Saccharomyces cerevisiae S288C: one gene and its partners. The protein of the gene in region 4 purifies or fractionates together with the protein of the main gene of each other region. This does not show direct contact. Each region holds a gene or a part of one and is shown on either strand. Other genes may lie near its edges. The genes, in order: IML3, AME1, CNN1 and MCM16.

Region 1 (3,125 bases), on a different chromosome or scaffold from region 4:
GCAGTTGCTGCAGTGTTATAAGAAAAATAGAATGAAATAAGATAAAGCTAGACGAATTGTGTCTATTTTCCTACATCGCCATAGAATTGCTTTTTTTTTCTTGATTAGATGAAATGAAAACAAGGAACTCTATTTGTTTTCATTTTGTTGGGCTTATCATGTAAAGAAAAATGAGTCGTGTCCTCTTTTTCCTCGTGCTTGTATGACTGCCGCACTTTCCGCTAAGTGCGCTCGTCTATATGATTTTATGCAAATATATACTGAAAGTTCAACAAAATTAAACTATGTGAACATTAGTTCATAGCAGCCATTGGCCCGTTGTGTCGGGATCTCTACACTAAATTGTAATGTCTCTGGGATTTTGTGGGGTGTCATTGCAGATATGACGAACCGGATATTACTGATAATGACGATGATTCATGAAGGTCTTCAGGTTCATATGTACAAAAAAGGTAGAGCTGTGGTTTTTTATTGTATCTTGGTGAATATTCTTTATAGTGTTACTCGCTGGTAAACTGAATCGATTGGAGTACAACTGCTAGAACTCTGTTCCTGAGACTTCGTGTTGAAGTGACAATGGATTCTCTCATTATTTTCGTGTGCCCTGCCAATATGACGGAAGTCAACGGTAATCTTTCCACCGCCATCCCCGTTTCATTATAAATGTAGGGTACAATTGCATCGTTATACGGGTGCATAGTATTACCATAGCCAAGAGCCAAACCCTCACAGCTTTCTCTCGGTATTTCTATACTGAATTGCCGCAAGTTTTTGTCTTGTGTTTCTGGTTCAAAATATAACTTTGAGCTAAACCAGGTAATTTGTTCGATGTTCTCTTTCGTTACGTGCACAATGCTGGCGTCAGCTAACTTTATCATGGTCTTCTGTTCAAATTTTATCGGCCACATAATGACACCGTACTCTGCCTTCAGCCACTGCAATACCACTTCATTGCGGTTATCTGTCCCGCAATAGCACAAAAACATCGGCACCTCCATTTTTGAGTTCCCCAAGAAAATGAACTTAGAGTAAGTGCCCTCATCTAAATTAGAGATGTCCAACCTCATTTCGTAACGGATATACTCGTCAGCGGCGGTACCACCATCAGGATCACTGGGTACTCGAATGGTTTGAATGTCTAAATCTACTTCCAGGTTTAGCAATTGGTTCAACTTTGCTATACCATTTTCCAGTGAAAGTTGCTTGCTGATTCCTAAAAACTTCCAAGTATAAGGCATTCCATCCAAAGGAAGTACGTTGATACCTATAGACAATCAAATCAACCATGCAGTCGACCAGATCATCCCACTATGGTTGTTGTCTATTTCATATCGGTGTCGGCATTTTTTTTTCCCGTAGTACCACTGGATCTGCCTAAATCGCGCTTCAGGAAAACCAGGGACCACCCTATTTTTTTATATTTCATCATCTAAATTAAGTGTATACATATATGGATAAAGTCATTTTGAGTTTACATAATCGTATGTTCGAGAGAGGTCTTTCATAAAAAAATCAAGTTATCAACCAGCATGGGATTTTGGGAGAACAACAAAGATTCCATCACTTCAGGGCTGAAGAGCGCCGGTAAATATGGTTACCAAGGAACAAAGTACGTTGCCAAGACAGGGTATAAGGCAAGTAAGAAGCACTATAACAACAGCAAAGCGCGTAGGGAAAGGAAGAGTGGTAAGAAAAATTCAAGTGATGAGGAGTATGATAGCGAAGATGAGATGGAGTACGAAAGAAAGCCGACCGATATAAGAAGTTTAAAAGACCCAAAGTCCTTTCCTCCCCCACCTTTGAAACCTGGACAAAAAACTTATACAGGACAACAGCAACAGCAAATGCCAAATGGTCAGGCCAGTTATGCTTTTCAGGGTGCATACCAAGGCCAACCTGGCGCAGGATCGACGGAACAGTCACAATACGCACAACCACAGTATAATCAGTATCCACAACAGCAGCTGCAACAAGGTGTAATGCCACAGCAACAGCAGCTGCAACAAGGTGTAGTGCCACAGCAGCCGCCTATATATGGAGAGCAAGTACCACCGTATGGGTCAAATTCTAATGCAACCAGCTACCAGTCGCTGCCGCAACAAAATCAACCCCAAAATGCAATTCCAAGTCAGGTATCTCTGAACTCTGCTTCTCAGCAAAGCACAGGGTTTGTCTCGCAAAATCTGCAATATGGTACCCAATCAAGTAATCCGGCACCATCACCGTCTTTCCAGAACGGTCTTCAGTGTCATCAGCAGCCGCAATACGTATCACATGGCTCAACCAATCTCGGACAATCCCAATTTCCATCGGGCCAACAGCAGCAGCCCACGACACAGTTTGGCCAGCAAGTTTTACCATCACCTGCACAACCACAACAGCAACAACAAGGGCAACCATTACCGCCCCCGCGCGGTCAAGTGATCTTGCCAGCGCCCGGAGAGCCTCTGTCAAATGGCTTTGGGCAACAGCAACAGCAACAGCAACAGCAACAGCAGCCTCTGAACCAAAACAACGCTTTGTTGCCACAAATGAACGTGGAAGGAGTTTCTGGGATGGCTGCGGTTCAGCCTGTCTATGGCCAAGCCATGTCAAGTACTACAAACATGCAAGATTCGAACCCCAGCTATGGAGCTTCACCCATGCAAGGTCAGCCTCCAGTCGGTGGACAACCGCCTGTGCCTGTAAGAATGCAGCCACAGCCACCGCAACCAATGCAACAGGGAAACATCTATCCGATTGAGCCTTCTCTTGATTCTACTGGCTCAACCCCACATTTTGAAGTTACTCCATTTGACCCAGACGCACCTGCTCCGAAGCCCAAAATCGATATTCCCACTGTAGACGTTAGTAGCCTTCCACCACCTCCCACTCATAGGGATAGAGGAGCAGTTGTACACCAGGAACCTGCGCCAAGTGGGAAAATACAGCCTAACACAACCTCTTCGGCGGCTTCATTGCCAGCAAAGCATTCAAGAACTACTACTGCAGACAATGAAAGGAACTCTGGAAACAAAGAAAACGATGAAAGTACCTCCAAGTCGTCCATTTTAGGACATTATGATGTAGATGTCAACATCATGCCACCTCCAAAACCTTTCAGACATGGACTTGATTCTGTACCT
Region 2 (3,130 bases), on a different chromosome or scaffold from region 4:
TATATCAACTCAATCGAACTGTGTAAGAGGGTGAATAGGTTGAGTGTACCAGAGGCAATTCTACAAGCTTTCATTTCTGCATTGTTTCTTTTTAACGGGTACTGGTTCGTATTTCTCTTGAATGTCCCTGTTCTAGCATATAACGCAAGTAAAGTCTACAAGAAAACACATCTACTGGACGCCACGGATATTTTCAGAAAATTGGGTAGATGCAAAATTGAATGCTTTTTAAAATTGGGATTTTACCTTCTCATATTCTTTTTCTACTTCTACAGAATGGTCACAGCGTTACTTGAAAATGATGCAAATTTGATAAGCTAATAGCGACAACAGGAAAAAAAAAGAGAGATTTGTGCATATCTATGAAGTATGTCTACCACATAAAAATGACCTTATAACACAACTTCCTTAGTATGGAAGTAATACATATATACATATATACATATATACATACATATATATATATATATATATATATATACATCTTTTGAACCAATTCCCTATAGACTTGGTTGTAATTCGTTAGAAAGATTTTCATTAATTTTATTTATCTTTTTCAGAAGTCCGTTATATGGATCCATCAAGTCTACGAAATGTGCAATATCCAGAATATTTGAGTCATCCCGTATTGAATCGTCCTCGCTATCTTGGCTCATAATTTTGCGATCTCCCTCGTATTTGCCTAGCAAAGTAGAAGTCAAATCATTTAGCCTCTTATTTAGCTTCACTTTGTCGTTCAGTTTGGCTTGTTCATTTTGTAAGTCATGCCAGTCTTTACCGGCTTTCAACTCTTGAATTTCATTTCGTACCGATATTATCTGCTGGTTCAAATCTTCTTTTCGAGCAAGTACCTGCTTCAGTTGGTAGCAGAGCTCATTATTCGACACGTTGATATCTAATATGTCTTTCAAGTCTCTGGTCATTTGGTCTGATATCGTTTGAAAGAGTCGCAGATCTAATTTGTACAATAGTTTCCTAAATTGATCATCATCACTTTTATTGAAATCCTTCAAAGCTTGCGGAATCAAATCATTTTCAAATAAGTTTATGAATAAAGAAGATAAAACATCAATTGTGGTCACAGAAGTGATAGACGATGATAGCTGTCTAATGGGTATATCATCGAAATTGTAACGAGTAGTAAGGTCTTCATCATTTCTAACATTTTGCGGCGATTCGCTTATAAGACTTTTATTTTCAGAGTCGATCATGGGATAGTCTTCTGCATCCAAGGGCTGATACCCATGTTCATGACGGTCCTGCGCATTTACGTTATTAGTGGTAATAGGAAACTCGAAAGAATTCGCAAGTTTTGGTGAAGACAAAATGGGTTGAACAGGAGATTGAATAGGTGAGTTCTCCTCTCTATAAACAGCATTTGGCGTCTTAAATACAATAACATCATCATCTATATCGTCTGTCCTTCTTGAATGACTGCCCCTCAGCCTAAAAGCTAATTTAGTGTCTCTATCCATACTGAGGTTTTTCTTTAAATGAACACGCAAATAGTCAAGACAATACAGAGCAACACAGGACACGTAAAAAAATGAGAGCAATCGCTTCTTATACTGCAACGATGTTGACCCTTGCCATAATAGCTAATGAAATCAATCATTATCATTTCTACTAGTCCTTTAACAATATTTGGATACACCATTAAATTTCTCCGTACAACACGATAAAATATTTTCTACCAGCTTCAAACGGCTGTGAAGGGGCGATAGTGCCGTTCCAAAAAGCGTTCCCCAAACTTGTATTCAAGACCAAATCTTAGTCAAGCAAGCAGTTTCGCACCTTCATACACTCCATTAAAAGTGAAAATAAGCATATTTGTAATTAAATCTGGTTATCATACCCTGTTCCCTTTAGAACCAATATACATAGACGCAGTCGACAAAGAAGCAATAAAAGAGATTACCATTCTTATTCACTATTTTTTTTTTTCTCTGACTCTTCATAGTTGTACGGAAAACCATCTGCGTGTTATATCCTAGTTCCAAATATTCTGATTTCTCGTGATCGAATCTGTTATATTGTCATATATTGTAATTCCATTTTTTTCCCGGTTCATTTTTTGATATTCTCTTCCTGTTCCAATATTAATAAAGGAGGCTTTTTTCTTTCCCTTTCGTTCTGATTTATATTGTTTTTACTATTATTGGATCTTTTAAATATTACAGCTTTTTCATATCCTTCGCCATCGATTTTTGCCTGAAAAATTTACACAAATGATGTCTAACGTTGCTAACGCCTCCCAAAGACAGGAAAATCCATATATTATTCCATTGCCTCCTTCATCCACAGTGGAAACTTCTACTGAACCCCCAAGAACGTTATGGATGGGAGATTTGGATCCGTCCTTCGACGAGGCCACGATTGAGGAGATATGGTCAAAACTGGATAAAAAAGTTATCGTTAAACTAATTAGAGCCAAAAAAAATTTGTTGATTCCTTGTAGCTCCACCTCAAGTAGTAATAACAACACAAGTGAGGAGAATGCTGAAAACCAGCAATCTGCATCAAACAGCACTGATCAGTTAGATAATTCCCAAATGATTAATATTAATGGAATATCCTTCATTGATCCTTCCACTACTCAATTACATCATGCCGGATACTGTTTTGTCGAATTTGAAACTCAAAAGGACGCTAAATTTGCCCTGTCATTAAATGCTACACCTTTACCTAATTTTTATTCCCCAACAACTAACTCCCAAACTAATCCAACGTTCAAAAGGACTTTCAGATTGAATTGGGCGTCTGGAGCTACTTTACAAAGTTCTATACCATCTACCCCAGAATTTTCCTTGTTTGTTGGTGATCTTTCTCCCACCGCCACTGAAGCTGATTTGTTATCTCTTTTCCAAACGAGGTTCAAATCTGTTAAAACCGTCCGCGTGATGACTGACCCTTTAACAGGATCATCTCGTTGTTTTGGATTTGTCAGATTCGGTGATGAAGATGAGCGCCGCAGGGCACTGATTGAGATGAGTGGGAAATGGTTTCAAGGAAGGGCCTTAAGAGTCGCTTATGCCACGCCAAGAAATAATATGATGCTGCAGTTACAGGAACAACAACAACAGCAACAACAATTGCAGCAACAGCATCAGCAGCTAGATCAGGAGGATAA
Region 3 (3,190 bases), on a different chromosome or scaffold from region 4:
GTTCTTGTGAGAATAAACTTGTCTACTAATCGCAAATTTTTCAAGATTAACCTTCCGCACCCATTGAGGTACTAAACTGATCTACCCTACCTTTCCTAAATACCTAATGTCAGGTACATAATGCCAGCGACAGCTCAAAATCACGGGATACTAATTATTAAATAGTAGTAGCTTCTTCTCCACGCACAGTTCGATCGAAGGAGCTAATATTCGGCTTGTCATCTTCCATGGCCAGTAATTTTTTTTATTGTCATTTGGGACTAATGAGATGGAAACTAGAATTGTAGTTATACATCCTGAGGTTTCTATCAACTTGTGTGTCACAACGTTTTATATACTTGAATGCGTAGTAGCAAACCCCGGCAAGACGTAAGTTAACTTGTCAAAGGTACAAGCTTGGTTACAAACAATGTGATATTTCGCTCCAGGATATTTTTGCTTTTGGTGACGCCGGTTGGTTGAAGAGCCCCCATTTATCATGACTCCTACCGCAGTTTTCGTATATCTTGGGCCATAAATTCGAAAATTAAAGACACCACTTAATAACGCAACAAAAAGAACGCAATCCTCAGAAAGAACACACACCAAAAAAAAAAAATGCCTGTTTATGAACACTTATTGCCCGTTAATGGAGCATGGAGACAAGACGTCACCAATTGGCTGAGCGAGGACGTTCCTTCTTTTGATTTTGGTGGATATGTTGTTGGTTCCGACCTAAAGGAGGCCAATTTGTACTGTAAGCAGGATGGTATGCTGTGTGGTGTCCCCTTTGCGCAAGAAGTCTTTAATCAGTGCGAATTGCAAGTTGAGTGGTTGTTTAAGGAAGGCTCCTTCTTGGAGCCTTCGAAGAATGACTCTGGTAAGATTGTTGTAGCTAAAATTACTGGGCCCGCTAAAAACATTCTATTAGCTGAAAGAACCGCCTTGAACATCCTTAGTAGAAGTAGTGGAATTGCCACCGCCTCACATAAGATAATCAGTTTGGCGCGTTCGACTGGTTACAAGGGGACCATTGCGGGGACAAGAAAGACTACACCAGGTTTACGTAGATTAGAAAAGTATTCCATGCTTGTAGGTGGCTGCGACACGCACAGATACGACCTTTCCTCTATGGTCATGCTCAAAGATAATCATATTTGGGCTACTGGTTCTATAACAAACGCAGTTAAGAACGCCAGGGCCGTGTGCGGGTTTGCTGTGAAGATCGAAGTGGAGTGTTTGAGTGAAGATGAAGCCACAGAGGCCATTGAAGCTGGTGCAGACGTTATCATGTTGGATAATTTCAAAGGTGACGGTTTGAAAATGTGCGCCCAAAGTCTTAAGAACAAATGGAATGGTAAAAAGCATTTCCTCTTGGAATGTAGTGGAGGCTTGAATTTGGACAACCTCGAGGAGTATTTGTGCGATGACATTGACATTTACAGCACTAGTAGCATTCATCAAGGCACACCAGTGATTGATTTCTCATTGAAACTGGCTCATTGAAAATGCTTAGGCTTCGATTTTTACTTTTTTTTATTTACATATTCTAAATAAGATTAAGAAGCTACGCGTTACCGATTAATGACACACACGACGATTAGTAACGAAATAAGAAATGAATAATGAGCACTCCCAGGAAGGCCGCCGGTAACAACGAGAATACAGAAGTCTCAGAGATCAGAACCCCCTTTCGGGAGAGAGCCCTTGAAGAACAACGTCTCAAGGATGAGGTACTGATCAGAAATACGCCAGGTTATAGAAAACTTTTATCTGCTTCTACTAAGTCTCATGACATCCTCAATAAAGATCCGAACGAAGTACGAAGTTTTTTACAAGACTTAAGCCAAGTGTTAGCACGCAAATCACAAGGCAACGATACAACTACTAATAAAACTCAAGCACGGAATCTAATAGATGAATTAGCGTACGAAGAGAGCCAACCAGAGGAGAATGAGCTTCTTCGGAGCAGAAGTGAGAAACTGACAGATAACAACATTGGCAATGAAACGCAACCTGATTATACTTCCTTATCGCAAACAGTATTTGCAAAATTGCAGGAAAGAGACAAAGGCTTGAAAAGTAGGAAGATTGACCCGATAATAATACAAGATGTTCCCACGACAGGACACGAGGATGAATTGACAGTGCACTCTCCAGATAAAGCTAACAGTATCTCTATGGAAGTTTTGCGCACGTCGCCAAGCATTGGAATGGATCAGGTAGATGAACCGCCAGTACGTGATCCGGTACCAATTTCCATAACGCAACAGGAAGAACCACTATCTGAAGATTTACCAAGCGACGATAAAGAGGAGACAGAAGAAGCAGAAAACGAAGATTATTCGTTTGAAAACACCAGTGACGAAAATTTGGATGATATAGGCAACGATCCTATCCGTTTAAATGTCCCTGCGGTGAGACGTTCTTCTATAAAACCGCTGCAAATAATGGATCTAAAACATCTTACAAGGCAATTTTTGAATGAGAATAGGATAATATTGCCGAAACAAACGTGGTCTACTATACAGGAGGAATCTTTAAATATAATGGATTTCTTGAAACAAAAAATCGGCACGTTACAAAAACAGGAATTGGTAGATTCGTTTATCGATATGGGTATTATCAATAACGTTGATGATATGTTTGAGCTCGCGCACGAATTGCTTCCCTTAGAACTTCAATCAAGAATTGAAAGTTATTTGTTCTAAAAAAGATACCGTAGAGAAAATAATTAAATAGTGGCAATTTATGTACAGAAAAGAGTAAAAGATCCACAAAATTATCAAGACCTGGAAGAGAAGCCTAGTAACAAACTAACCTGTTCATAAACAGTGAACGTTAAGCCTCCTGAAATACCGACTTTCATAAACCTAAAGATGGAGCCCTTCCAGAATGTGGCCATGCCTTCTTGAACAAATATTCTATACATGCAATTTAAGGTATTTTTATATTCAGTTTTGGCATTTTGACTCATCATCCTTGTTTTTACGACGTCAATGGGCTGAGTCATTGCCACGAGTGTAAAAGATGTGGCTAACCCCGTTATTACTGAGGATGCCTTGTCGTTTCTTGCTTGTAACAACCGTTTAAATGCTGTGTATGCAGTAAATTGAATAGAGGTGTTAGCTATCTGCCTAAATATGGTGGCTGTTGTTCCCTGGACGAACGCAGCAGGGCCTCTTGTTTGATACATGTGTTTTACCGCTGG
Region 4 (2,793 bases):
CAGGATGATCCTTAGGAAACCCTAAAGAATCGAAGTTTTCCATTGTGGTTACCACGGGCTTGAAATTATTAAAGATCTTAAATGTGTTGTCGACTGAGTTTAATTTCTTTTCAATTAGATCGCGAAGAATGCCTACTGGATGTGATTCTTTCAAATGTAATGATCTGTCGGTAAGCTTTATTATTGAATCTGTAACATTGGTAGTCTGTGGGTCGGTCTTGTATTTTATGCCATTGATTTCTACATGTGGAACTTTAAGGGTTGAATATAAGCGATAAAGACCAGTCCTGGTCTTCATCATTCTATTGAGAAACATTGAAGTTACCTCCATTGGCAGATATTTTTTTATCCCTTCTCTCTCTCTGAATTTGTGAGTAGTTCCTTAATTTTCCTACCTTTTTTTTTTCTCGAAGATTCAAACCTTAATTAAGTAACTATTATTATTAGCGTTGTCAGTATTAAAATTATTTGAATATATAAATAGCATTAGAAGATAAAAATCAAATTGTGTAGGATATGTTTGTATATCCGGAGTGTATCTGTAAAGCAATCATCAATTCTTGTATCGTTTCATTTTCCTTTTCTACCTCAACCTGTTTTCCAGCAGTATCACTGTCGTCTGGCGGTATAGTTGGTTTGGGAAACTTCGACGATAACTCAATCAGTTTTGACATCAATTCGTCGCGTTCTGCTCTTGATTCAATCAACTGTTTGTGCAATGAAGATTGAGCACCTAACGATTGCAAGAGCTCATAGTCCAGAGAATTGCTTTCTTCTAAGAGGTTTTGTAGCTTGGTGAATAATACATTGGTATTGTCCGGTTTCTCCAACAGTCTAATAAGAAGAGCAGTCTTTTCAAGATTAATTTGAAGTTGGTGTCTAATTTCCAAGAGGCGCTGTTGAGTATGGCTTAATATTACCGCATGATTGTGTTTTCTAATCAAGTACAACCTGTCCAACGTGATCAACAACTCTCTATATACCTCCACGTGCTCCTTTTCTAATTGCTGGATTCTTTCCCATTGTTTTTCACTACTGTTTGTCATCTGTCAAAATGGTATGAACTCCCCACGACAGGAAGAAATGGTTAGAAGTATCTAGATATTGCACACTGTATGTGATGACGGCTATCATTTATTGTCAACATGCATCATCCTTCACGGTTTGGAATTTTTGAGTAAAAAAGGACTGAACATGACAAAAAATAGAGATTTGGCTGTCTCGTAAAGAAACCATAGAATACAAGGAGTAGGAACCGTTCGGCAGCGAGTAGTTGAGTTTCCAATAACATTATGCAGAATCCTTACGGTCACTTTACTAACAATACCACGGAGGACAGGGAAGCTTCATCTCAAGGAGGACCATTCGGCCAAAGCCTGAATAGGCCCCTAGATTACGCCGGATCTTTCCCTTCTCTGACATACAATAATAATAATTTCATTGCCAATCAACAACCTTCTCTGCCTTTGCCAGAACCACGTTTATCTTGGAACAACGTCAACCAGGTTTCTAACCCTTTGATGGTAACACCGCTTCCGGGATTACAAAAACGTATGAACAAAAACATTAAAAAGAAATTACCAAGAGTATCTAAGAAGGCATCAGCCCTTTCTAACGGGGTATCCGGCAATGTAATGAGCAACAGTAATATAGTAGGGCATGGTGCTGTAGGTTCGGCATCGGGATGGAAAGTTGAAATGGGTGGCAGTGATGAATTAGAGAGAAGAAAGAGAAGGGCAGAAAGATTCAGTCAGGGACCATCAGCGACGACGAATAGTAACGATAATTTGAATGAAGACTTTGCCAACCTAAATGCCATTAGTAGCAAATCTCATCAATATGACAAAAAGATTCATGTGGTAGGGCGTTGCCAAACTCTAGAGAAATCTTATCTGAGACTAACTTCAGAGCCTAATCCTGACTTGATCAGACCCCCAAATATTCTACAAAAAATGTATTGCTTGTTAATGGACAAATACCAATCTAAAACAGCCACTTATACTTACCTTTGCGACCAGTTTAAATCAATGAGACAAGACCTAAGAGTGCAAATGATCGAGAACTCTTTCACTATTAAAGTGTACCAAACGCATGCACGTATTGCCTTGGAGAACGGAGATCTTGGGGAATTTAATCAATGTCAAAATAGGATTATGGCGTTATTCGAAAACCCTACAATACCAAAAAAATCTTATTCCGAATTTATATGCTATTCTGTTTTGTATTCGATGTTAACCGAAGACTATCCGTCGATTTCTCATTTAAAACTTAAGTTAATAGACGATGGCTCTTCGGAAATCTTGGAGGACGAACATGTCAAAATGATATTTGAGTTGAGCGATATGAAACTAGTCGGCAATTATCACTACTTCATGAAAAACTACCTAAAACTGCACAAATTTGAAAAATGTCTAATTAATTCATTCTTAAATCTAGAAAAGTTGATATTTTTGACCATAATTTGTAAGAGTTATAACCAGGTCAATTTAGATTTTGTTAAAAGTGAGTTTAATTTCAACAGTATAGAAGAGACAACAAATTTCTTGAATGAGCAAAACTTGACGGAGTTCATATTAAACAAACAAATCACTGACAGTAATGGCAAAAGTAGTAATATCAAGATTTTGAATACCAAGGGATGTAGGGTACAGTTGATACAAAATTATATGAAGTCTAAAAAAATTGATATAAAGGGACAAAAATGATGAAGAGGGAAACGGGATGCCTAAGGTATATGATTTTGGTTTTTTTTTTTTTTTTTTTTTCTAAATAAATATATACATATTCACAACA

What was found.
Region 1: the proteins of MCM16 (region 4) and IML3 purify together in Saccharomyces cerevisiae (affinity purification with mass spectrometry; 3 studies listed by BioGRID). This does not show direct contact.
Region 2: the proteins of MCM16 (region 4) and AME1 purify together in Saccharomyces cerevisiae (affinity purification with mass spectrometry; 6 studies listed by BioGRID, with this or other methods). This does not show direct contact.
Region 3: the proteins of MCM16 (region 4) and CNN1 purify together in Saccharomyces cerevisiae (affinity purification with mass spectrometry; 3 studies listed by BioGRID, with this or other methods). This does not show direct contact.

The regions. Positions count from the first base shown.
Region 1 is NC_001134.8:453,293-456,417, forward strand, and holds IML3 (Iml3p), read right to left. Parts: upstream 1,239-3,125; coding exon 501-1,238; downstream 1-500. Other genes in the region: AIM3 (Aim3p), read left to right, coding at 1,530-3,125. UniProt on the Saccharomyces cerevisiae protein: Component of the kinetochore, a multiprotein complex that assembles on centromeric DNA and attaches chromosomes to spindle microtubules, mediating chromosome segregation and sister chromatid segregation during meiosis and mitosis.
Region 2 is NC_001134.8:645,658-648,787, forward strand, and holds AME1 (Ame1p), read right to left. Parts: upstream 1,476-3,130; coding exon 501-1,475; downstream 1-500. Other genes in the region: ERV15 (Erv15p), read left to right, coding at 1-321; NGR1 (Ngr1p), read left to right, coding at 2,229-3,130.
Region 3 is NC_001138.5:242,574-245,763, reverse strand, and holds CNN1 (centromere-binding protein CNN1), read left to right. Parts: upstream 1-1,604; coding exon 1,605-2,690; downstream 2,691-3,190. Other genes in the region: BNA6 (nicotinate-nucleotide diphosphorylase (carboxylating)), read left to right, coding at 598-1,485; MRX20 (Mrx20p), read right to left, coding at 2,765-3,190. UniProt on the Saccharomyces cerevisiae protein: Component of the kinetochore, a multiprotein complex that assembles on centromeric DNA and attaches chromosomes to spindle microtubules, mediating chromosome segregation and sister chromatid segregation during meiosis and mitosis.
Region 4 is NC_001148.4:655,052-657,844, reverse strand, and holds MCM16 (Mcm16p), read right to left. Parts: upstream 1,047-2,793; coding exon 501-1,046; downstream 1-500. Other genes in the region: MSF1 (phenylalanine--tRNA ligase), read right to left, coding at 1-316; THP3 (Thp3p), read left to right, coding at 1,293-2,705. UniProt on the Saccharomyces cerevisiae protein: Component of the kinetochore, a multiprotein complex that assembles on centromeric DNA and attaches chromosomes to spindle microtubules, mediating chromosome segregation and sister chromatid segregation during meiosis and mitosis.